Linked DNA regions of Rattus norvegicus. The protein of the gene in region 2 interacts with the protein of the main gene of each other region in a biochemical or structural test. Links are inferred from orthologs where the notes say so. Each region holds a gene or a part of one and is shown on either strand. Other genes may lie near its edges.

The links.
Region 1: the proteins of Dsg1 (region 2) and Pkp1 form a complex in vitro, tested with the Homo sapiens proteins (2 studies listed by BioGRID and IntAct). The link is inferred for Rattus norvegicus from reciprocal best matches to the Homo sapiens genes DSG1 and PKP1.

The regions. Positions count from the first base shown.
Region 1 is NC_086031.1:49,870,233-49,883,037, reverse strand, and holds part of Pkp1 (plakophilin-1), read left to right. Parts: intron 1-3,311; coding exon 3,312-3,706; intron 3,707-6,443; coding exon 6,444-6,588; intron 6,589-8,684; coding exon 8,685-8,892; intron 8,893-9,709; coding exon 9,710-9,887; intron 9,888-11,231; coding exon 11,232-11,346; intron 11,347-12,805. UniProt on the Homo sapiens protein: A component of desmosome cell-cell junctions which are required for positive regulation of cellular adhesion.
Region 2 is NC_086036.1:11,958,217-11,971,021, reverse strand, and holds part of Dsg1 (desmoglein-1), read right to left. Parts: intron 12,510-12,805; coding exon 12,474-12,509; intron 12,047-12,473; coding exon 11,915-12,046; intron 10,844-11,914; coding exon 10,688-10,843; intron 9,400-10,687; coding exon 9,255-9,399; intron 7,030-9,254; coding exon 6,863-7,029; intron 5,402-6,862; coding exon 5,267-5,401; intron 4,972-5,266; coding exon 4,786-4,971; intron 2,385-4,785; coding exon 2,125-2,384; intron 1,820-2,124; coding exon 1,680-1,819; intron 359-1,679; coding exon 14-358; intron 1-13. UniProt on the Homo sapiens protein: Component of intercellular desmosome junctions. Involved in the interaction of plaque proteins and intermediate filaments mediating cell-cell adhesion.

The DNA.
Region 1 (12,805 bases), on a different chromosome or scaffold from region 2:
CATTCTCCTCTGGCTGCAGCTGTTTGCTTAAGACTTAGAGACAGTGTTTGGAAATGGGGGTGGGATTGCTATCATTTGGAGCCTGGGGGCAGGGCCACCACAAACATCCTGTGATGTTTGGGCATCCAGACAATGAAGATGTGTCCTGCCGCAGATGCTAGGAGCACCCATGTAAGGAAAGTCTCCTCCATCTTGGCAGAAAGCCTGCCAAATTCAGCATGGGACTCTGAATACTGGGTATCTTCTTCCTGGGCCTGTTCCCCCCCCTTATGGATTATCTAGAACCTTCTTTAGAAATGGTGTGGGTTATTTAAACCCCTTAGCAAGGGGCTGAAGAGATGGCTCAACTGGTAAAGTGCCTGCTGTACAGGCTTGAGGGCCTGAGGTTAGAGCCTAGCACTCACTTGAAAACCAGGCACAGCGGTTCAAATCTGTAATGCCAACAGGGGGTAGGGGGACAGATCAGCCAGCGAGACTAGCTCGGCATGAATCCATGTTTAGTGACAGAACTTGTCTTAAGAAATTAAGATGGGGAGGGGCAGCAGAGGGGACCGGAGAAATAGCTCAGTCAGCAGATTTATCATCATGCCAATATGTGGACCTGCATTTGAATCCCCGGTACCCATGTAAAAAGATAGGCATGACAGCATGCAAGCATCATCCCAGCATTAGGGAGGCAGAGACTGGAGGCTCCTTGGAGTTCAAGAGCATGTATGCACCCCTCGGCTGGCTCCTAAAGGCAGCCATCGTGAGAGTAAGAGAGATGCAGATGGTCCAAGCCCTGGTGTCACGTCCAGTTCTAACTTACAAACATTAGTCTCGTGATGCCTAATGACCCTCTCTGTCACCAACACTCAGGATCTTGGTTACACAGCTGGAGAATCTCAGATATAGTGGCTTTAAGCCCCTGGCCTAAGGTTGCCCTCTAGGAGGCATCTGACATCACCAAGGCAGTGTGACTCTAGTCTGTGCTCTTGACGGTCACATATCCTTCTGAGGCATCCTAACTCGCTTATGCATGAAGAAAGTTTGGATTCCCATGCCACCGCTGCCAATTCAGCCTTAGAGGCTGCATCATGGGCCACCTGTGCAGGCAGGACTAGAGGCAGTAAGTATGATTTATCTGAGCCTTGGAGAGCATCCAGGCTTGTGTAGAGTTAGGAGGGGACAGTGTCCAGCTGAGTTTTTCTCCTGCTCGCCAAAGTGACAGCAAAAGGCACAGGTGAGATGAGAGAGAGCCATCTCCAGATGTCACATTCATACAACCCAGCGCTGTGACTTTAAAAACTAAGGCGGGGCTCCCAGGAATGGATGACACTACTGGGGTGTGGCTGTTGAGAGGGGTCCTCGCCCATTCCCTGGGGGCAGCCCACCTCGCTGAGACTTGCCAAGGCCGCCTGCTGCTCCTTTTCCCAGCACTGGTTGCAGAGCCCAGAACCTCTCTCGGCTTAATCAGCAGGATGGCGTCTTTGCTGGGTCTGGGCCAGGAGAGCATATGCACTCCTTGTCAGGTGTCTGAGATGACGTCCAGGTGTGTCACTTACTGAGAACAAGGGAGCTCCTGTTGCCTTCCCCTTGGAAGCCCATGGGGGAGTGTTCTGCTTCCCCCATCACCAAAAGCACCATCTGCCGCCTTCCTGCCTGATCGGGAGGCCTCTGTAAATTTTGCAAAGAGTCATCAAGGAGTCCGGTTTATGTCCAAATGCCAAGAAAACCACCGGCTCCTCCAGCTTCTGCCTTAGCATTGTTTGTGTCTCTCCCAACTCCCACAGGCCAGCTCACCGTGTGGCAGGGTGGTTTGACCCAGTTTGAGGAAGAAAATTGCGCCCGCTTGGTTTGAGTGAAGGGAGAGTACCTGCCTTCACCAAGGTTAACAGTATATGGCTTCCTGGTTTTGGACACCACTTTCCAACTAGTAGCTTGACACCGTTCTTTGGGGGAACCAGACCAACAGCCCCTCCTTAGTCCTGTGTGGCGAGATCCAGTGTAGATGGTAATTGCTGGTCACACAGCAGCCATCCCTGCAGACAGACACACAGTTTGATCCCGTTTTCTCTCTTCTCTTAGGGTTGGGTGGGCAGCCTCTGGGCTGGACTTGGACTTGCTCATCCCAGCAAAGGTGACTCCCAAGTCGGCACCTGTATGGGGAGGTTTTATCAGGCTCAGTGTTGATCCTGTTGTCTGAGAACAAGTTCCAGCAGGCCAGACCCGCCAGCTTACGGGTCTGGGAAAGTCTTCTGTGGACAGTTCAGTACCAGAGCTGATTCCCACCAAGCCTCTGGGTTTGCAGGCTCCTCCCAAAGAAATAATTCTCTGTTGGACTTACAAGACCCTTAGGGATATCTCACGGTTCATGGTACATTTTCCCTTCGGATAAGTTTCTGCTCTGCGTCTCTCCCAGCCAGCCTGATGACACAGCCCAGAGGTTTCCCTGCACCCACCCTGTACCCTATACCACCTCTGTGTGCACAGGGGCTCCCTAGCTAGTAGCTCAAATAAAATAGACATTTCCAAACATGTGCACGAGCTGACGCCAGCTGGACCGGTCAGCTGCTTTGTGGGATGGCCTAAGTGACAAGGCGAGGACTTGGGACAAAAGCCCGTGGGTGCTGCTCATGCTGAGTGGCTGTTGGAGGACCCCTCCTCTCTGGCTTGCAGCCCCCATCTTAGACTTTGCCCATTGGCCAGATCAGTGGTATAGAGCTTCCTTTCACATACTCCCACAATAAGTATATTTGCAGGGCTCAGAGATGGCTCACCAGCTAAGTGCACTCACTCACTGCTCTTCCAGAGGACCCGGGTTCAATCCCCAGCACCCACATGGTAGCTCATAACCATCTGTAACTGGAGTTTCAGGGAATCTGACAACTTCTTCTGGTGCCTTCTTCTGCACTAGACGTATGCGTGGTGTATAGACATGCATGCAGGCAGAACACCCATGTACATACGATGAGTTATTTTTCAGAATTTAAAAGTAAAATACATTTTACATTGCAACTCAGAATGTATTCAATGTAGCACAAAACAAGTTATATCTCTATTGTCCTGCACTCTGTATTGTATGTTTTCCAGTATTTTTCTTTATTCTATACTTGTAATAAAGGTGGACATATCTGCTAAAATGATCTCATATTCCACAGCAGACCACAACCTGAATTTGGGGGAAAAAATGCCTAAGGTTCCTCTCTTTGCAAATTTTTCCAGATCCTCTGAACACTGTAATGGGGCAAGGGAGGGCTACCTCTGTGGACAGCTAGATCCAGGCTCCCAGTCAAGAGCTAGACTAATCCTCTCGCCCCTTTCCTGTCTAGATCTATAATGGGACCCTCAAGCGGGAGCCTGACAACAGACGCTTCAGCTCCTATAGCCAGATGGAGAACTGGAGCCGGCACTATCCCCGAGGGAGCTGTGCCACCACAGGCGCTGGCAGTGACATCTGCTTCATGCAGAAAATCAAGGCAAGCCGCAGCGAGCCTGACCTCTACTGTGACCCGAGGGGCACACTGCGCAAGGGCACACTGGGCGGCAAGGGCCAAAAGACCACCCAGAACCGATACAGCTTTTACAGCACTTGCAGCGGTCAGAAGGCTGTCAAGAAGTGTCCCGTGAGGCCGCCCTCCTGCACCTCCAAGCAAGACCCAGTGTGCATGCCGCCTATCTCCTGCAACAAGGACATGTCCTTTGGCCACTCAAGGGCCAGTTCCAAGTGAGTGCTGCAGGGCTGTGGAGGGGACAGGTGGGAGGTGATCTGCTAGCCTGGCTCACTCTGCAAGGGTCGCTCACTCCCAAGGAGGAAGGGAGAGGCTCAGTCTGTGTTCTGACTTTCCTATCGACGCCTGGAGGAGTCTCTGGTCTGATGGACCATGGATCTAGAGGAGCCTTAGAAGCGAAAAGGCCACAGAAGCTAGACATTGTGGACACAGGACTTAAGGGTGACCAGCTATGAACAGAGGGTGGCAACAGAGAGATTAGCAGGCTAATTGCTGCCACACTGTGTCTCTCGGATCGGCAACAGCAGTGCCTGGGAAAGTGTTAGAAATACTTATTTTCAGGGCTGGAGCAATGACTCAGCAGTTACCAGCACTGGCCACTCTTCCAGAAGACCCGGGTTTGATTCTCAGCACCCACGTTTGTGACTCGAAACCATCTATGAGACTCCAGTTTCAGGAGAGCCAATGTCCCTTTCCAGCCTCCAGTTATGCAAGTGGTACGCAGATACTCATGCAGGCAGAATACCCACACATATAAAATAATTAAAATAAGCTTTTGAAACTAAATAATCATTCTTGGACCCAACACAGACATCTGGAGGTCCTAGCAATGTGTTCTCTCTCTCTCTCTCTCTCTCTCTCTCTCTCTCTCTCTCTCTCTCTCTCTCTTTCTGTGTGTGTCTTTGTCTCTGCCTTTCTCTGTCTCTCTGTCTCTATCTATCTCTGTCTCTCTCTGTTACACACACACACACACACACACACACACACACACACACACCATGAAGAGAGCCATAGGCACAGGTACCTTGGGCCCACAGTAACATTAAACCTACCTTTTGAGGCTCAGAGCGGCATGAACCTTCCACTGTTTCTTATGACCTAATAACAGCTACTCACTTATTGGGCAGCTATTTAGGGAGCATCTACTCCACACTCTGTGTGTCGAGCATAGGAAGCACAGCCATGCTGGCAGCCCAGGGCAGCTCTGGAACACATTCTTGGTGACCAAGGTGCTGTGTGTCCCTCCTAGTCCAACCCCTTTCCAGGCAGACCCTGGTGAGGGGTAAGCAAAGGCCAGAGACAGCAAGCTTGCCCCAAGGCCACACATCTGGTTCTCTACCCTGTACTCTTTCCTATCAGTCTACACTGTTCTGAAAGAAAGCATAATCCAGTTTAAAGCGGACCCCTTGAAGCACAAGATGTGCTTAGTGTATCTTGACGTACTTACCCCTTGAAGTACATAAGATGTATTTAGAATAATTTGTGAAACTCTTTGGGAGACTAATCATGGCGCCATCTGCCCCAAAATGGAGGTTTAGGATTGAGTGACAAGCCACGCAGAAGGGACACTTGACTGATGAAGAGAAGGCAGTGCCTCCTCGATAGAGAACAGGTGTGCAGCTATCCCAGGGCCAGAGAATTCTACCCCTTGAGTAGAATCCCCTTCAGAAACAAAGTTGGATGACCCTAGCTAAAACTATGGCTATTCCTTGAGCACCAGCTAGGCCAAAGCGTCAGTCTCATAAAAATGAAGAGAGGGTTCCCTCTGCAGATGCTGAGGACATCGGTGGGGTAGGGCTGACCACAGAGGGTCTGTCTCTGCCCTCTGGGCCCTTTTCTCTCCACTTGGAAGGAAGACACACTCGGGTGCAAAGGCTGCCTGTGGCTGCACACCGTGGCAGCTCAGGGAGTTCCCAGCCGAGGACTCCCTTCCTTAGAAAGGCTTCCTGGAAGGGAGACTCAGCAGGCCTGGGCTAGGCCTTCATGCCTGGAACTGAGGTTGCCTTGCTACAACCAACAGACTCTTGCCAGAGTCTAGGGAACGTGCCAGAGGTTGCAGCGAAGCCAAACACTCAGTTAAAACGGTGAACTAATAGACATTTGCTGTGGTTCAACCTAATGCACGAGCTTGAGTGACAGTCTAAGCAGTGGGCATGAACCTGACCTATGGAGTGGATGGTTTCTGAGCTGTAGAACAATCCAGTGGGCAGGGTTTTAGGACCAAGTCACAGACTGTACTATGGTGGGTGGAGTGGCTCTCTAGCCACTAGTCCCATGAAAGTGATCCTAACACAGACAAATACAGTGACTGTCAGGACGTGAAAGACTGAAAGAGAGAGAGAGAGAGAGAGAGAGAGAGAGAGAGAGAGAACCTGGAAGGGAAGTCAGGCAGTGATGGCACACACCTTTAATCTCCAAACTTGGGAGGCAGAGACAGGATCTCTGTTGAGTTTGAGGCCAGCCTGGTTTACAAATCGAGTTCCAGGACAGCCAGGGTTCTGTTACACAGAGAAACTGTCTCGAAAAGACAAAAAGGAAAAACCAGCCAACCAGCCAAGCATCTAGCTGGATGTGGGGAGGAAAAGAGACAGAGTAGACAGGCCTCTCACTTACTCTTCCAGGACCAGGAACAAACACAACCACAGGATAGATGAGGAGTTCCCTCTCAGGAAAGAGGGCCAAGTTTGTGCACAATATGAAGATAACTGTCACGTATTGGCCTTAGCCCCTGAGAGCAATCTCGTACCACGAGAGGGACACCCAGCACACGGCCGTTTTCCTTCCTTGTAGGGAGCCATTCACAAGATTTTCTCCAAGACAGCCTGTCCTTTTCAGCTTCCCTAGAGGGCACATGGAAGCCGTGGTATTTGAGTGTATGAGGAGGAATGTAGAGAGCGTGCTCACTGGAGTCGCCATGTTCACGCTGTAATGCCCTGCACCCTACTTTTTCAGGATCTGCAGTGAGGACATTGAGTGTAGCGGGCTGACCATCCCCAAGGCTGTGCAGTACCTGTGCTCCCAGGACGAGAAGTACCAGGCCATCGGAGCCTATTACATCCAGCACACCTGCTTCCAGGATGAATCTGCCAAGCAACAGGTAACCGGCCGCATCCCTTCCTCGATGGTGGGTCCTGAGTGTGTCAGCCTGGGCCCCACCATAGGAGAGGAGTGGACGCTTGAGCAGTTGGATCCCAGACACTGGGATGGGGAGTGCTCCTGCCATTGCAAGAGCAGAGTTTCATCTTAACCTGCAGAGGAGGCCTCCTGTGTGGACTTTGGATGGTATCTCCCCCACTGGCCATTGCTATATGAACTTTCCCTAGTGTGATATAAAATAAACAGCTGTCACTCCCTCCCACTAACAGTGTCCCGATGATAGACCAACTGCCCCCCGACAGTGTCCCAATGACAGAGCAGAATACCCATCCCATCAGAACACAAGCTGCCATGCCAATGGGTTTATTGGGCTTATTTATAGAGCGTGGTGGGTGAGTAACTTACAAGAGCTCAAGTGACCCCAAAACAAGTCTCGTCCTGGCACAGATGTGTAGATGGAGACCCCCCTCAATCTTCATCTAACCTTTCACATACTATTTACTCTGTCACCTCCAGGATCTGTGCACCTTGGAAAGAATTAAATATCTCTGGGAGGGAGGTGTGGGAAGGAGTGGCTGGACTCTCAAGAGTCAATGATTCTCTCCATCCCCACCTTCTAGTAACAAGCCCGATCTTTAAATCTTTAATTTTTATTTACTCATTTATTCTCTCTCTCTCTCTCTCTCTCTCTCTCTCTCTCTCTCTCTCTCTCTTTCTCTGTGTGTGTGTGTATGTGTGTGTGTGCCTATCTGTCTGTCTGTCTCTCTGTGTGTGTGTGTCTCTCTCTCTGTGTGTCTGTCTCTCTCTGTCTCTCTGTGTCTCTCTCTCTCTGTGCCTATCTGTCTGTCTGTCTCTCTGTCTCTCTCTGTGTATGTGTCTGTGTCTCTCTCTGTCTCTCTGTCTCTCTGTCTCTCTGTCTCTCTCTGTCTCTGTCTCTCTGTCTCTGTGTCTGTCTGTCTCTCTCTGTCTCTGTCTCTCTCTGTGTCTCTGTGTGTGTGTGTGCCTACCTGTCTGTCTGTCTCTCTCTCTGTCTGTCTGTCTCTCTCTGTGTGTCTCTCTCTATCTCTGTCTCTCTGTGTCTCTCTCTGTCTCTGTCTCTCTGTCGCTCTGTGTGTGTGTCTGTCTGTCTCTCTCTGTCTCTCTGTCTCTGTCTCTCTCTGTCTCTCTGTGTGTGTGTGTGTGTGTGCGTGCGCACGCACACGCGCGCATGAGTGTGTTTATGAAGTGGTCAGAGAACAACTGTCAGGATTCAGTCCTCCAACTGTGTGAGTTCTCCTACCTACTGTGTGCATCCTAGAGGTTGAACTCAGATCATCGGGATTTGGGACAAGCACTTCTACCCTACCCACTGACCCATCGCCCCAGACCTCAGCAAACCCAATCTTGAGGGTCTCTTACAGGCAGCTGCAGCTGCTGCAGGGTTGGTACAAACAGCAACCCTGGTCCCAGTGGGAGGATCGTGTCCTACAGCAGCCACGGAGGAGTCCCAGGGCTCAATGACAGCCATGAATTTCACAGACACCCACTCCCTCAGATTCCACTAAAGGATATGACTATTTCCCAGCCCCCAACTCCCTCCCTCCCAGCCCCTCCCCTCAGTGAAAACGGGACTCATTTATGCCCCCGCACACAGTTGGCCAGCTAGGAAAACACTTGCAAGACCACTTCATAAACACACAAACAGCTATGTGTACCACAAGTGGCTTCCAAGAAGCATGGAGGCCGTTTTCATCAAAATTTCTACCATGGGAGAGTTTCTGTGGCACCTTGTATGTGTTTGCCTCACCTTGGGATTCTGATGTACACGGAGATCCATCTTCTCCTCTGGCCTTCACTATGCTCCGGAGGAGGAAAAGATGGCTCCAGACAGAGGAGAGACTTGCTTAGGGCCCTGAGTAGGAGAGGATGGAGCTAAGCTCTGAATTCAGGGTTTCATGTCTGTGTCAGTCCCATAATCTCATTGCTGCATTTGTTTGTGGCTGACTTGTACGCTCCTGAACTGATTTTTGTTTTGGTCTGAAAACCAGTTACTTTGAGCAGAGAAAAAATATCCCACCCTCCCTTCCTTTAGATGATATATAACAACTCTCTCGGCAGGTCTATCAGCTGGGGGGCATCTGCAAGCTGGTGGACCTCCTCCGCAGCCCCAATCAGAATGTCCAGCAGGCTGCTGCCGGGGCTCTGCGCAATCTGGTGTTCAGGAGCACCACTAACAAGCTGGAGACCAGGAGGCAGAATGGGATCCGTGAGGCTGTCAGCCTCCTGAGGAGAAGCGGGAGCACGGAGATCCAGAAACAGTTGACTGGTAGGGTATTACCGAAGAGAAACCGGGGTGGGGAGTGGGCAAGATGGCAGGCTGTGTCTCTAGCCCATGCTTCTGGGCTAGGCTGAGGCACAGCCGGGTGGGTGTTACTGAGCCACAATTCAGGGGCTCCATGGCGCTGGCTTCAATGGAAATGGTGGCACCCAGATGATCACCTGGGGCGGCGTTCACCCTTCGGAAGGCATCCTCAAGGCTGGGGTGCAAGGGAAGGAGCTTTAGGTAGGGGGTACTGGGATTTGCGGGTGATAAAAGGGGAGCTAAGTCCATGGGTCGGGGTGAGAGGATCTCAAGGGATGACTGTTTACAGTACACTTACCCTGTATTCACAAAGTACATGAAGCACTCGAGATGGGGTACAGGGTGGAGAAGCCACCACGAAGACCTTGAATTAGACCAGAGAAGACAAAAATGTTCAGAGTAATAAACTGATAAGAATTCCTAGACCCGCTGTCACGGTTGATATTCTCCATGTATGGTTTCAAATGGAAAACAGAGAACATTGAGCAGTTCTGAGTCCCAAAACATATGGTTAAAAACCGCTGAGCAATTGACTGCAATTCAGGGGCTATCCCTGTGCCTGGTTCTTACCTGGGCAGAGAACTCTGAGATGTTCTCAGACCTCACAGAACCTGCAGTCGACATGGGCACTGAGCACAGGATCATGAGGAATCAGACCATGGTCTGATGGGCCAAGCCTACCTGGAAGGTGGCCATTTGTCAGAGCTAGGACTCAGGGCAGTATCACTAGACCTCAGGTTTGCAGAGCCCGCCATGTTAAGCTGACTGTGTCTGTGTGCAGGGCTGCTCTGGAACCTGTCTTCCACTGACGAGCTAAAGGAGGAACTGGTGGCCGATGCCCTGCCTGTTCTGACTGACCGGGTCATCATCCCTTTCTCTGGCTGGTGTGATGGTAACAGCAACATGTCCCGGGAAGTAGTGGACCCCGAGGTCTTCTTCAATGCCACAGGCTGCCTGAGGTGAGAGAAAAGGGTGTGTCAGATCTTTCCGCTCAGGCCCTCCCACAACCAGCCCCCATTTCAGCCAACATCCAGCCAGAGTAGCCTCTGCTGGCCTGGCCCTGCTTTCTGTGGGCTGGCTCCAGGACAGAGAGTCAGGCATTACCAATGTCTGTGAGTCTGGCTATGCCTTGCAACGTCCCGAGAGGTTCTAAATAAAGGACAGCATTGGGAATCTAAGAGTAGAAATGACCTGCTTTGGAATAGCCAGACTGGCTCAACTGAAAACCCCTCCTCCGCCCACGGAAAAATGTACTTCTTGTGCTATCTTGAAGAACATTCTCATATTCGAAAGTTTACTGATTGGCTGCTTGTGAGTCACCTCCCGCCTGAGAGCAGAAACCTTTGCCATGTTCACTGGCATGGAGATGGTGCTGCTTTGCCCAATGTTGTTTGAGTTCCAGAGCAGGGTGTGGCAAAGCCCTGGTGGGGTCTGGATATTCCTGCTCTCAGAGCTCCGGGATGGCTACCGGCATGGAGTACGGAAACCATGGAGCAAGGTCCCCTTTAGGGTCTCACTTGCCACAATGGAATTTGTCCCCCAGAACTTCTGAGAACTTCCAGAGTAGGGGTGAAGTTAGTATTCGCTCTGTGTCTCCCGTTGTGCTTCTCCCAACCAGCCTCCAGCCATGGCCTCCAGGCTGTGAGACAAAGAGGCTAGGTAGATGAAAAGTCAGAGTAACTAAGGACTTTATGGGGCCACATGACTGCTGGATGTGACAGCGCACATACACACACACACACACACACACACACACACACACACACACACGCACGCACGTACACACATCCTGTGCATGCACCATACACACCACCTTAGGCAGGAGGACCCACAGTGCTTGGGAACGAACACATCTTCATTAAAGACAACTACATCTGGACCCCAGGTTAACCCTTATGGTCTAGCACCTCCTCAGATCTGCTCTGCTTCCACAAAAAAAAAAAAAAAATACAAGCAGCAGCTTCTAAACGCCTGACCCTCATATGGCCACTAGAGGGCAGGAGCTGGGCCGCCAGATGCGGTGGAGCTCTTGAGGGTCTTGTTCCTGGGGCTACAGGACAGAAACAATTGAGTTCAAAGGAGACCCCTTTCAGCCGGGGCCAGGCAGACCTGAATGAATCTTTTCCTTCTCTCTTTTTCTTCATTTATTTTTCTCTCTTCCCCTCTTCTTCCGGCTACAACTTTTATATTCTGCACTGTGCTGTCTGCCGCTCTTCACTGCGCATGCCCACTGCACTCTGCTCATCCCTGCCCTGCCCTCTCATCACCCCATCCACATCCTCCTTCCCGGTTCTCTCTCACAGGAATCTGAGTTCAGCTGATGCTGGCCGCCAGACTATGCGGAACTACTCTGGGCTCATTGACTCCCTCATGGCCTATGTCCAGAACTGTGTGGCTGCCAGCCGCTGCGATGACAAGGTGAGGGTGCAGGCCCCTGGTGACCCCTCCATCCCCAATCCTGCAGTCTGTGCCCATAGCTGCAAATCCCAGGGCCACACACTTAAGTCGGGGACTCTCCTAGTCCTGATATTTCTCTCCCAGAACCCGTAAGTCAAGGTTATACTTTCCGAGTGCTTGTGAAATCTGTCTCAGAGACAGAACACGAGCAGAGGCAGGAACAGTGGAGGAGACATCTGGAACGTGCTTGGGCTCGGGGGACCACATTGTTCTTGTGGTGCTGAGGCCACAAAAGTATTCTTAGGGGCCCCGTTTCCTTTCTGAGATGAAACTTGTACCAGTTTCACCTCCAGAAACACCATTGGAAGGTCACCCTCTTGCCTTCTCTAGACTTCTGGATGCAGCAGCACGCACAGATTGAAAAGCAGTTTGTGAAGAAAAAATAAATAGAGGCTGGGATACTCCCAGCACAGCTGAGCACAGCTCAGGACACAGAGGTCTAGTCCGTCCCCACACCCAGGATACCAGGGACATCAGTGAAGGGGGATCTCTGTCTCTTGCTTCCTTCTATGGAAGCGATAGCAGGTCCTCCAAGAACAGCCTTGTTGTTAAACTGCAGGACAAAGAGCTTCCCTTCCTCTTGCTCTGTGCACATCTCCTTTACCCAGATAGCCCCAAAGCAATAGAAGTCAGGTTCACCCTGGTCCTAACAGGGACCAAGTGCTGATCTAAGCGTAACTCCCAAGCCCTACCCTGGAGGCTCACTGAAAGCAAATCAGCTGTGAATCCAAATGCTCCTGTGAGGTCCTCCGAGTCCAGGCCTCACTGTCGGTATGCAGGCAGCATCTTTAATGCTGGAGGCTATGGGGTGACCATGGGAAGAGGGGACAGCAAAGACTGTAGTGACCAGATGCTTTGAAAAGCCAGAAGGAACTGGGGCTGGAGAAGACGTTTTCGTCTTCTGCCCCCCATGTGGTTGGTAGCAGTAAGTGGTCACTACTGCTTGCTATGTGTGCTATGTGCAAGGCTCCATGATTGGTCCTTTTCGTGTGCAGTTGCCCCTCAGTCACCATAGACGTTGGTCCAAATTCCCATGCACACCTAATCCACAGTCTCAAGCCTTTCCATAAAAGGAACGTATAGAGGGTATATTCACATATAACCTGTTCACACTCCTTTGTGTACCTTAAATCATCTGTAAGTTACTTAGAAAACCTAGTATAATATAAAGGCCAAATAAATAGTTGTTAATAATGCCTAGAAAGAAATCTATATGTTTAGAAATGCCTTTTAAAAGAAAACTAATTTCGATTTGTTGATTCTGTGGGTGCATGCAGAACTGAGGGCCTAGTGCATAATCTACTCCACTAACCAAGAGAAGTGAGGCTCGCCCAGTTTACAATTGAGGAAGCTGAGGCCCATAAAGGTGTGGCAGGTCGTACAGACTCAGACAGGCAGGAAGTAACAGAGGCTGGGATTA
Region 2 (12,805 bases):
CTGGAATACTTACATCCTAAGACTAGGAACCCCATGATGAGCAGACCGATGCCGGCAGGACCAAGGTGAACGTTGTCTTCGTCGGCTTGGTAAGTGTCAGTATTGTCAATATCCCTTGTTAATGTGGTGCGTTGCGGTTCCTCAGTGGAAGTGTCTTTATATCCATTAGTCACTTGGCCACCACCATCTCCACCGCCGCCATCACCACCGCTGCCACTGCCACCGCCACCGCCACCGTCACCACCACCGCCACCGTCACCACCACCGCCACCGCCACCGCCACCACCACCACCTGTTTCCCAGCCAGTGCCATCAAGTTCAATGATGATTGTTCCAGTGCAGGTCCTCTGAAGGGAATCTGTAACAAGGTTCACAGTGGAAGAAACTACTGTCTGTACACAGCCTAGCAATTAACAGATTACAAGTGTCCACCATGCCCAGCAGCTTGTGGGGGTTCTAGAAACTCCCATCCTTGTGGGGGTTCTAGAAACTCCCATCCTTGGAAAGCAATTGCTTCACCGATTCATCTACCTCCTTTGCCCTTCTACTCAGTTTTTAAGCCAATCAGGGATTGTATTATTATAACCAACCTTAACATTATTACTGACAAAACTGTTTACTGGATAGTTTATAGTGTTGCCAGTTACATATTCTATCTAGGTTGAAAAGTGTAAAAGTACAGAAAGATGTGAAACAAAACCAGAAGCTAACCCATAGGTTCAGTACCTAATAGATACCCTTCTAGATTCCTTCAATACCAGTTGCCCTTAGTGATAAGGCCTGTGTTGTTGTACATTGATACATTGATACAATCTTATGGTTCATTCTAGTTCCAGTGGGACTTGAGATTTTACATTAAATTGTGTGCACTTTTTCATGCCATAGTACACCTTTAATTAACATAGTTTCTGTTGGGTACGTGATTTTATAGCGAATGGGCTATAGTTTCCGTCCTTAGTTACCTGCTTTCAATAGAACTGGTAAGGACACAGGTGTTATCATCTCTGTTCAGCCCTCCATATTTAGTGCTTTCCCAACGATCATTGTTACTGATTATCAGATAGGAATAAAGAAACGAGCTGAGTTTGTTTTGTGCTATTCTATAGATATGAGTCTTACTTTCACTGACAGAGCCCTAGAGCCTAGCAGGATGACTAGCATTATTTAGTTAAGACTCAGTAAATACTCTGTGAATAAAGGAAATGAAATCCCTGGAGATGTGCAGCAGACATGGTTCGAAGTCTGGTTATCTGACCTTAAAGGTCATTTAATGATGTTCATGCTATTTTTACATGTCTCGCTATTTTCTTTCCTTTTTTAAAAAAACATTTATCAGCATATATTGTTATTTCCCCATTGTGCAGAAGACTGGAGTGTAGATGGGTGAGGTGGCTTCTCTAGGATCCAATAAGCAGTAAATGATGAGACAGGTCAGTTTGAGTATCCAGTGCTCAGTTCAACAGGACAACTTCTATTGAAAAGGGGCTTTTCAAATTCACTTGTATTCTGATCACAGCTCCTTCTTCCCTGCTCTACCCTTACAAATCCTTTCCCATGTTGTCCCTTCCCCTTCTCCTCACAGGGATCTAGAAAAGAGGTTTTCTTTTTACAATAAAAATTTTAAATTGTCTAAGAATATTTATACTTGGCTTCCTCTGGAAGTTAAATTGATTTCTTACCATCTATTGATAGCATTGTTCCTTCATATCTCCCATTAAGCCTTTGGTATTGTTCCATAGTAACTCTGTTTCTTAAAGTTATTATGCCTGTTTTTGAGTCAACAACCAGCAGGCCCTCTGGGTTGTTTCCCATTACGTATCTGTATTTAAAAGAATACAGCAAAAATCAAAGCTCTCTTTCAAATCATGACATTGTAAAATTACATTTGAAAGGTTAGTATACAAAATAATGGGTTTCTTGTGCCTCTTCAAGTGCGTCTGGAAACATACTTTGTCAAATACACTTTGTGCTCAGTCAATCTCCTACCCTCCCACCCACCTCAAGCTGCCTGCCCTCCTAGCTGCTTCCCTCCCTTTCCCCAAACAGTTCTTGCTTTCATTCTTTCCCTCTCCATTCTCGTGATCCCCTAAGGTTAACATTTTAGTTAGACAATGCCATTCTTACCTAACATTGGTGGAGGTCATACCCGTGTCCAGGTCTGTAGCTGTGAACTCCCCCACTCTGTAATTTGCGTCCATTCTACTATGTACCACAAATGTCTTTGAACCTGGTCGGAACACAGAGCCCTCGACGACATTCAATACCTTCACAGTGATCATAGTCACTGTGAGTGTATATTGAGAAAGAATTGACTGGTGGAATTCAGCTACATTTCGAACACCAATACTAAGCTGTAGTTTCTGCATGGCTTCATAATCTAGGGGCTAGAAAACACAGAGAGAATTAGTTATGCTGTAAGAAAACCATTCAGTGGACAGAGAAATCCTTTGAGACAACTCAAAGACATTTGTTATGTTACTATTTGAATTATGTGTTTGAACTCAAATTCACGTGATTACCCAGTCTAGTCTTACTTGCTGGGTATTAAGTTCAAGGTAGACACATGCAAGCATAGGAAGGGGGAAAATCTAGTTGTCCTGGATCTTTTGTTGAAAAGGTTGAAAGCATGGGTCATGAGCTCCAATTGCTCACCAAACCAGTTAATTGCTTAAATTCAAAATATGATTCACTTAATACATTTGCAGTGCAAAGACAATTTGTTAGCTGACATTTCATGCTTCTGACACAGTAACTCTTTTAATAACAAAACATGAATCAAATATATTAGAGACTTAACTAGTTTTATCCCTGAAGAACTATTTAAAATATTCACCTCAGTGTGACATTTTGAATGTCAATGTTATACATAAATGCATACATATATGCTTTTCTTCAATATGTTCTAAAATTATTTCATACTATAAGATAATCAAGTAGTAAGTTTTCTTATACAAGTTGATATCCAAATCCATGCTGCATAGAATTTACTAGATGGCTGATGTATTCCTCATGCACCAAATATATCTTTTCTGAATTTTTATGAATATCTTAAATAAAATATTCATACACTGAGCTCTCCTGATCATCTAAAATTCTGGAATTTAGAATTAGTTTTATTTGCAACTTTAAACACCAATTATAACATATATAAGTGTGTGCGGTTATTACTTTTCCATAATTATAATAAAGTAGTTATCATATTACTTTTCCATAATCATAGTAAAGGATTTGATGTATACTATCATATCAGGGAAAAGCATCCTAGTTTTTAGGTAGAGATATTAAGAGCAGATAAGTTGAGTAATTTTAAGAGTAACATTAAATTGAAAGTGAATAGATTCAGAATTCATTTTCCTAGCATTCAATTTTAGATAGTACCAGAAAAAAATGAATTTAATAGATAAGGAAACCTAGGATTAAATGACGGTGTCATTTACTGGTAGTAAAAGTTAGGACAGGTTGCATGGTTTCTGAGCCTCCATATCTTTGTCACAATATAGATTTAGTATAACCTAATTTTCAAGGGATGCTGGAGGAGCTGATCAGAAGCATCTGGAACCTGTTTCAAGCAAATGGAAGCAACAGTTTCAGTGAATACAAATTTAAGAGACATGGGAGTCATGAGACCACACTTCCCTAAGGGACCGAGTCTATTGGAAATCTGCTTCATAAGGTTACTCTGAAAAGCAGACTCAAGTTGGATTAAAGATAAGTCTGGAGAGACCAGAGTGAAGGAGCTAGGGGAACCCTGGGCCTACACTAAGAGGCAGAATTCTCAGGGAATGGAGCCCACCCCTACACCCCTGTGGAGGTATGAAAGTAAGAGGTAGATGAAGAGGGACTGTGCTGTATCCTGAATGATTCACTGTGAGTGTCACATACAACTGTCAACAATTATTGAAGACTTAAAGAGGTTGAAATCTTCACTCTCAGCTTCTCCTGAGTCAGATTTCACCTTACATTGCACAGGATATCTTACTGAATGTACATGTGGTGAGTGGTTGATACAGAGGAGAACTAAAATAAGCCTGGCCAACAGCCATGGTGAAATGAGAATACGAAGGTTCTATAATTCTATGATTGTTACCGTTTAATCCCATAGAACCACACTAGCAGAATCACAATGATTTAATTTTATCATCCTGGGGGAGGGAATCAACTCTTAATTTTTATGATAAATATTCCTAAAGCATGATATTAGCATCTCAATGTTGGCATGGGCATATTTAAAAATCCGGTTTTAAAAATATTATTTAATTACTGACTTTGAAGCTGGAGAAATGGTTTAGTGGTTTAGAACACATAATGCTCTCGAAGAGGACCAGAGCTCAGATCCCAGGACAGACACTGATCAGCTAAGAACCACACAAAATTTTGGCTTGAGGGGATCTGGTACCTCTGGTTTCCGAGGGCACTACATCCATGTGCACATGCCCTTACACAGATACAGAAACACACACATGCAATTCAGAGTGATGAAGTAAATCTTTAAATAAATGTAAACAAAATTTGAAACCCTCTTATATAGAAATGCTTTTCCCAGACCTGATCTTTGGAAAGAATTGCATGCGTAAAAAGAGTTTCAAATCTTTAATGCTTGTTTTCCTGAGATTGTATAAGCATATACATTCACATTGAAATTACTTGTACTTTGCATAATTTTAAAGCTTGGCGATTTTTGTTATTTCATAGACTCATTTATGAAATGCTAATATCACTTTAACTTGATGTTATGAAATAGAAAAAGACCAGCAAAACAAATGGTTTAGGGTAATCATGCCATACCTTGACAACCTTCAGAGTTCCTACATTTGTTCTTTCATTCATTTCTATTTCAAACCAATTTCCCTCATTTCCAGTGACAAAGAAAATGACTGCCTTCCAGTTGTCCGAGTATTCTTCATCCAAATCAATGACTCTGAACTGCTGTAGATTGGAGTGCAGTGCGTTTTCTTCAATTTTGATGTCATACTGGAACAAGAGGCAAAGTATCAGAACAAAGCACGGGTGAGATCTGTGGACCAAGCTGTCTGCACCAAGCTCACAGTTAACTATTTATAGCTAACGACATCCCTGCGTGTAACTGCATACTTAGTTCAAGTCCACTTGCCCACTGAAGAAACAATTCAAGAGAAAGTGTGTGTCTCCGCTGGTGTTCTAGAGAGCAAATCTAGCAAGTGAACCTGAAAACTGAGTGAGTTCCTTAAGAACTGGGATGTGGAGAATGTAAAGTCGCGGAGTCTGATCCTTAAGAAGGATTGCTTACGGATGACTGATCCAAGTACGGAATGTTGTCATTGACATCCAGGATGCTGATGCTGCACTCGCATTCTGCAGACATGCCGTCTGCCCCACCGTCACGGTCTGAGCCTCTCACCACAAGAGAATACTGGCTGTATTGCTGAAAAAGACACATTACAGGCAATCGTACACTGGACGTAGACACTGGCTCAACATCTGCATAAATCTACCATAGAAGACAAGGTAACAGAAGGTAAAAATCGATAGATCTCATATCACTCAGTATGGAACCTGTGACGTCCATTTCTCATGACGCTTACCCAGCATGCTCTCGAAGACACAACCATGCTGTTCAAGACTTCATTACTTATTCATTGTGTGTGCAGAGAGAGAAGGGTATAGAGGATGAGACAGGCCAAAATATTTAAGGTAAGAAAGATTTAGTTCATTAAAGACGCATGCTATGAGTAATACGCCACTGAGTAGTTAAGACAAGTACAGTGGTATCTAGTGGAAGGGGGAGAATGAGAAATAGAGTCACATGATGCTTCTATTTTAATTCTATTCAGTGGCGACTCCATTTTTAGAAGTTGGTGAATGCTATGAAAGACTTATGCATAAACATATTAATTCCCACTCATGCATATAACTTCAGCACTTCTCCTTATGACTCAGCGGTTGAGAGCACTGACTGTTCTTCCAGAAGTCGTGAGTTCAAATTCCAGCAAATACATGGTGGCTCACAACCATTTGTAATGAGATCTGATACCCTCTTTTGGAGTGTCTGAAGACAGCTATAGGGTACTCATATATAATAAATAAATCTTAAAAAAAAAGAAGTTGGTAAAAGCTATGGGAAGACTTGTGCATAAACATAATTCCCATTTATGGATATAACTTCAGCACTTCTGTTTATGTTCCGCAGAATCATCAATGATTGTGGATGACCTTAACTTCTGACCCCCTTTCTTAGAGAACTCGACTGCTAAAATTATTTTGATGCTAATATCTTTTTGTTGGACTATGTAAAATAATCTGAGAGAAAAGGAAAAGGCTAGGTAGCCATACCTCTTTTTCTAAAGGTGTTTTTCAAACAAGTCAGTAAAGAAATGTAAGTAACCTAAAAACCAGACTCGTGTGTGTGTGTGTGTGTGTGTGTGGTTTGTGTGTGTGTTGTGTGTGTGTGTGTGTGTGTGGTTTGTGTGTGTGTGTGTGTTGTGTGTGTATGTGGTGTGTGTGGGTGGTGTGTGTGTGTGGTGTGTGTGTGTCTGTGTGTGTGTGTGTGGTGTGTGTGTATGTGTGTGTATGTGTTGTGTGTGTGGTGTGTGTGTGGTGTGTGTGTGTGTGTCTCTGAGTGTGTGTGTGTGTGGTGTGTGTGTGTGTTATTTTAATTGTTTATCACTAGTTTTTGTGAGTTTGTTTTGATCTTTTATTTCTTTTGGGAGAGAGGGAGGGAGAGAGAGAGAGAGAGAGAGAGAGAGAGAGAGAGAGAGAGAGAGAGAGAGAGAGAGAGAGAGAATACAACACTTGAACACATTCTTTTAGTTTTTCTTTCTCTTAAGTACCATTGCTTTAGAGTCAGTTCCTTTGAATTAAAATCCATTAAAAGACGAAGGATTACCTCTCTGTCTAGAAAATTATTCATCGTTCTGATTTCTCCAGTTTTTCTGTTGATGATGAACATTGGTGCTTCGGAAGGCTCCTGTCTTACGATCTTGAAGGCTATGAGTGAGTTTAGGTTATTGGGCTCGTCGGCGTCGGTAGCGTTGAGCTTCATTACCAGTGTGTCTAGAAATCAAGGACAGTTGGCCGGATTGGTAATGAACACCATTACAGTCCAATATGCTACCTGTGTCCATACAGCGTGCGTTAACTCTCTCCCCTTTGGACAACACCAACATACCAATGTAATAGCTCCTCCCTTTACTTTTGTCCTAATAAAAAGACCACAGTTAGAGAGGTGCCTAGACATTACAGAAGGGAAGAAGGGAGTCTGTGTCCTGACTCTGTTTATTTATCCAACATAACTTGTTTTAAGCAAGATGCTTATTGTTAAGTAAAATAGCATGAAAACACTATTAATGTGTTTCTCAACAGTGCTATAGGACCTTATTTATAGCCACATGATCTTGTCCTTACTTCCCACAGTTACAAATGAGAATGGTAATAACACCGTATTTATGAAGTTCATGTGAGAATTTAATAGCGAATGAGAATACTGACTGATGTTTACACTGAAAAATGCACTTTAAATAAATATTATTGTTCATCTTGGGCATTTAATAAGTGGCATTGTTATTTAGATTGGAATTGGCTCTTGGGTAGGTGCTGTGTAACTAGGAACTTGTAGGAAATGTTTGACCGCACACACTGCCCTGTCTGTATCTTCTTTCATAATCTAGTATATAGTATTGATGAATGACACTCGTGGGTGTGAAAGCTGTTGACATTCCTTCATCATTTGGAATGCTCTGCTACTCTAAATTGTTTTCAACATACTTTTCTAGTCTTCCAGGACATCCCATCCCTTCTCCTTTTGCTTCTTTCCCCTGGGTCATTTTTTCACCTTCCTCTTTTCTCGCCTCTCCCTCTTAGCCTCACATCTTTTGAACAATCTTCAATGGTGGGCACTGTCCCACTTAGTTACTGAGTATTTGGTAATTACATTTTTAGGTACATGGAACCATAGGGCAGCAACTGTACTCCGAGATTGTCAGAGTCCTTTCAGAGAAATGCTACAGTGGACTAGACTGCTAGTGCCACCAGGTAGCACCATTTGAGAGATATGCTTCCAGTATTTATGGTGAGCCCTATGGAATTACATTTATAACACATTTCCAATGTATAAAACCAGCAACTTGAGCAAAGCGAATCATTGTAATTGGCCTTCTGCAGCTCTGGGGTCCATGTCCACAATTCAGCCCAGAATGAATGGGGAAAAATCCAAAGAACTTACATTACATCTGACAGACTATGTAAAGACTTTTTCATGTCATGAGGACAATAAATATTTATATGTCATATTCATTGTATTAGGCATTATTGCCATATAGAAATAATTAAAAATACGTGAAGGGAAGTATGTGAACCTATGCAAACAAGATATGGTTTATAAAAAGATATGAACTCCATAGATCCCTTTATCTTTAGAGGTCCTAGAACCAAACCAGATAAAGAGGAATGACTACATTTATTATAGCTTGAGTAAAAATGGGAAGCAAAGATTTCTTGACATTCATTTGTTGTTAAGAAAAGCTCTAAGCATCAAAACAGATTACGTGTATTGAATATCTTTGAGTGACTTAAGGTAATCAACTTTGTTCTGTTTCTGGTACTTACTACTCCCCAGTTTTTACTGGGCGCTGTTTACTCCATCCCTCTGCCTTGGAAATGAGTGAGAACATATGATGTCTATTTTTTTGTGTCTGGCTTGATTTGTGTAGTGGTGATCTAAGTTACAATGCATGAGCTCTTTTGAGCTCTTCAGAATAGAGTGTCAATCTGTGTTCTATTTTGAAATGATTACAGAAGGAAGAGTATGGAATTCTTCAGTGCTTACTGGTTAATGACCGGGGAATTCTCTTGATCCTTGTTTGGTTATTATGTATTTTATTGAATAATGTACTCCCATAAGGAGGAACATTTCTTATGTCTGGGTAAAAAATAAATTGAAAGTGAGGATTTTGATCATATGTGAGTGGAATTGCCTTTCAAACACATTTGGGCAGAGAGTAAATTCCCATTTCTCCGAGCCTGTAGGCACTTGCAGATCCTGTCGGGATGTAGTGTAAGAATCTCCAAAGAGCTAGGGCACAAGGCAGACTGTCAGTCCCACTTGTTGCTTTGGAGGTGCTCCTGGGCTGACACCACAACTATGTCTTGAGTCGTTGGTTCCGGATGCTTTCTACACTTTCTCCCAGTTGATGTTTACCTTGCCACAGCTCAGCCCCGTTGCCTAGCAACAGCAATTTAGTCATCAACACATTGTTTCTTTAATAGTGCAGGTGACTCACTTGCGTTAGAGTTTTCCTCGATTTGTCCTAGAAATGTAGTCATTGAAAACACAGGAGGGTTGTCATTTATATCCATCACCCTGACTCTAAGCTCTAGTGGATTCTCCAGGTCTTGACCTTGTGCATTCAGTGCTCGGCAGTAGATCTAGACGGGAAAGGAAAAAGTCAGTGGCAAGGCATGTATTTGTCACTTCTCACAGAATGCAGGCATCCCTGGGTACCACAGGATTAAGGGACACATTATTATTATTATTATTATTATTATTATTATTATTATTATTACTTCCCACTAAAACAGCGACACGAGCAACTTATACAATCAATAAGACAAGGCAAGGAAGAGCATTCAATGCAAGTTTAAAAACATCCTGGTACGTTAGATAAAAGGAATGATGCATAGTCTATGTTTACAATCAAGCCATGCCAGAGGAGGACGTTAGAGAATGTGGTCAGGGATAGTCAGGAGCACTGTAAACAATAAGTGGCATTCTTAAGTGTTGGAATACCGATTTGGACTTGGAAGCCAAGTGATTAAAGTAATTCTAGGGACGCAGATGAGCAGTGTGAATTAAGGCAGCAAAAAGTAAGGAATATCTGAAGGTAGCTTGGAATATGATTTTTTTTCAGGGCTGGGAATCAAAGCCAGGCCTTTTCATGGAGTCAGCAAATGCTTAATCACTGAGTTTCATCCTCCGATCTTTGATGGGATTTTAATAGAAGAGACTGTAAGATCAGTGAAAAGTTTGTTTTCATTTTTATTTTATTTTTTTTTTAATTAAGAAATGTCAGCCATGTGATTGATGGAAATGGAGGCAGTCGATAGATGAGGAGAACAGAAGAGAAAAGGTAAGTCAGAGGTTAAGGCACATTAGAAGAGAGGCTACTGAAGTTGTGTGACAGTGTCTAGGAATAAAAAAGAGAGATAAGGCCAGGTAGGGATGAGTGAGTTTCTGAAGTTAATTTAGAGCTCAGATGAGTTTGATTATAATGAAATTTGTTCACATGAAACAACTGGCCTCCAGGAGCTCAAGGCTCATCCCTTGGCTTAAAAGGAGAAAGGCAGGGGGACATAGGGGACGGGGAGGGAAGGGGAGGGAAAGCTCTGATCTGGATGCAAAGTAAATAAGTTAATTAATGAAAAGAAGGAACTATTGATTTCCACTGATGTTTCTCTTTTAAAGATTGAATAGAAGTTAAAGATTTGTCCTTCCAAACAAATTAATTTGTTACAGAGCTGATGTAAACTAAGATTTTTGTTAACACATAAGGGAAACATTTCTCTATTAATATTTCCTCATCTATTGGGGTAATGAATTAAGAAAGATCTCAGAAGGCCCAATATTGAGACTCTTGAAATCAAATCTGGTATGGTCTAAGATTTTTCCAGGAATAACATCTACTTGAATAAAGATATTGACACAAAGCCCACTTACAATGAAAAAGGGGGTGACTTCACGATCAACAATGGATGTTATATTGATTTCGCCAGTCTTCTGATTAATAATGAAGATTCCATAAGGTGGTTGGTCAATTCCTACTCCGGAGATGCGGTATGTCACTGGTTGGTTTGCAGCACAATCTGAATGAATCTGTATAAAGACACAGTGAAGATGTTACAAGGGCCATGTGAACTTCTACACGCAACAGATGACAACTGTCTTCCTGGAGAACTGTTGAGTATGCGGTCTACAACATCACCTGGGAGTTTTTAGAAACGGGGAAATGATAAATAACAATGTAATAAAACAATTCCATTTCTATGTCTACCAAACAATAAAGAAACAAATGTCACCCTAAGAAGTCTTTATATACATCAGTCATAGAGGTCATAATCATCAAACATTTATAGTTTTATTTTCATATTAGTTTTGGACTCTGTGCTAGCTCTTTGTCTAGAGATAGCCTTCTTAGAGAGTTATCATGTAATGTTGGTATTTAAATTAAATATAACTTTAAAAATACAAAGATTCAGGAAAGTATTTAAATGGACTTTATAGTAGCAGGCTATTTGAAACTTCTAATTTTAAAAGTGGGGAGGAGAAGGAAAGTACCCACTCCAATAAAGGGTGGTAACTTCTAAATAGTTTATGAATATAAGCAAATCTTACAAGGGAGTTGCCTGTGTATCTGTACAAATGGCTGTTTTTACATCTCTGTGTGTGTATCTACATGTCTGTGGGGGTGAATCTGTGTGTATGTAGGGAGTAGGTTCCTGAGTTTGTGCTTTTGTGTATGAAAAAAAGAAGAAGGAGAATGAGAGGAGCTTGAGGTTATGAACGAGACAACCTCTGGATGTTTGTAAATATGGGCAAACAGGAGTTAATTCTGAGGGTTATGCAGCAGAAAGAGCACATGGTCTGACCACGTTGAGTCCTCAATGCATTTGTAAATCATGGTCCTTTTGGAGTTTAGTGTTACGCACGTTCATGGGTGTTACTTTTGCCAATGAGACAAAACGGTGTTTAGCGCTTTATTCAAGCACCCAACGTTCTTGGTTTATCCCTTTAGGAATTTTGGTTTTCATAATTTGAGTGGGGCGGTGCTGTTAGACCGTACCTTTTCAGTAATATGTGTTTACAAAGCACATGAAAACTGGGCTCTTCCAGAAGTGCGCCCTAGCCCTTGTGCGGTCCAGACTCCTGTTCTGGGTTCACACTTACTTTGGCAATTGGGTTTCTTTTTGAGTTGTCTTCTCCTTCCCGACAGGCTGCGGCGAACTTGATCCATTCTCGTTTCTGCCTTCTGATGGAATGCCACTTGATGGTACCATTTTTGGCGTTATGATCTCTTACCTTAAATAGGTAAAACGTTGTGTCTGTTAACTGTTACTTATGGGTATTCCACTGGGGATTTTGGAGGAGGAGCAATTATGTCAGGAAGAGAAGATGGATAGTTTAGTGGCAAACTAAGAACTCTGGTAATTTTAGCAGTTGGAACTGTCCCACTGTAGTGGTTTTGTATTTATAAGAATGAAGGTTTTCTTGAGGACAGCCAAGTCAACTCTCTTTTGGTCTGCTCCCTCTGTCCCTCTGTCCCTTTCCCCATTTTCTCTTTCTAGTTTTTTCTTTTCTTTTGTTTATTACATGATTTGAGACAGGGTTTCTTTCTGTAGCCCAGGGGACCGCTTATCCACAGTTCTCATGCCTCAGCCTCGGGAGTGCTGAGGTCACAAGCCTTCACTACTCTATTAGTCTGGGAAAAAAAGGTTTCAAATCTTACCTGGATTTGAAATTCACTGTTAACTTCAAGCACCACCTGTGAAAAGCAGCCACAACGGTTAACTTTAAACTATTTTAAAGTCTATATTACTCAATAAATAAAAACACACAAAATAAAAATAAGATCAAACAATACAGGTGTGGGGTAAATTAATGGCTCTAACTCTTCCTTATCTCTTTCTCCTGATCAGCAAGCGCTCTCTACATTAACACATGTGCTATGAGCAGTGTTCTGTTCAACTTAAGTTCCAGATCTGAATGTTGCAATAACTTGTGGTGAAGTAGCAGGATATATTAAGTGATTTTTAATCTAAAATTGTGATTATTTTTAAA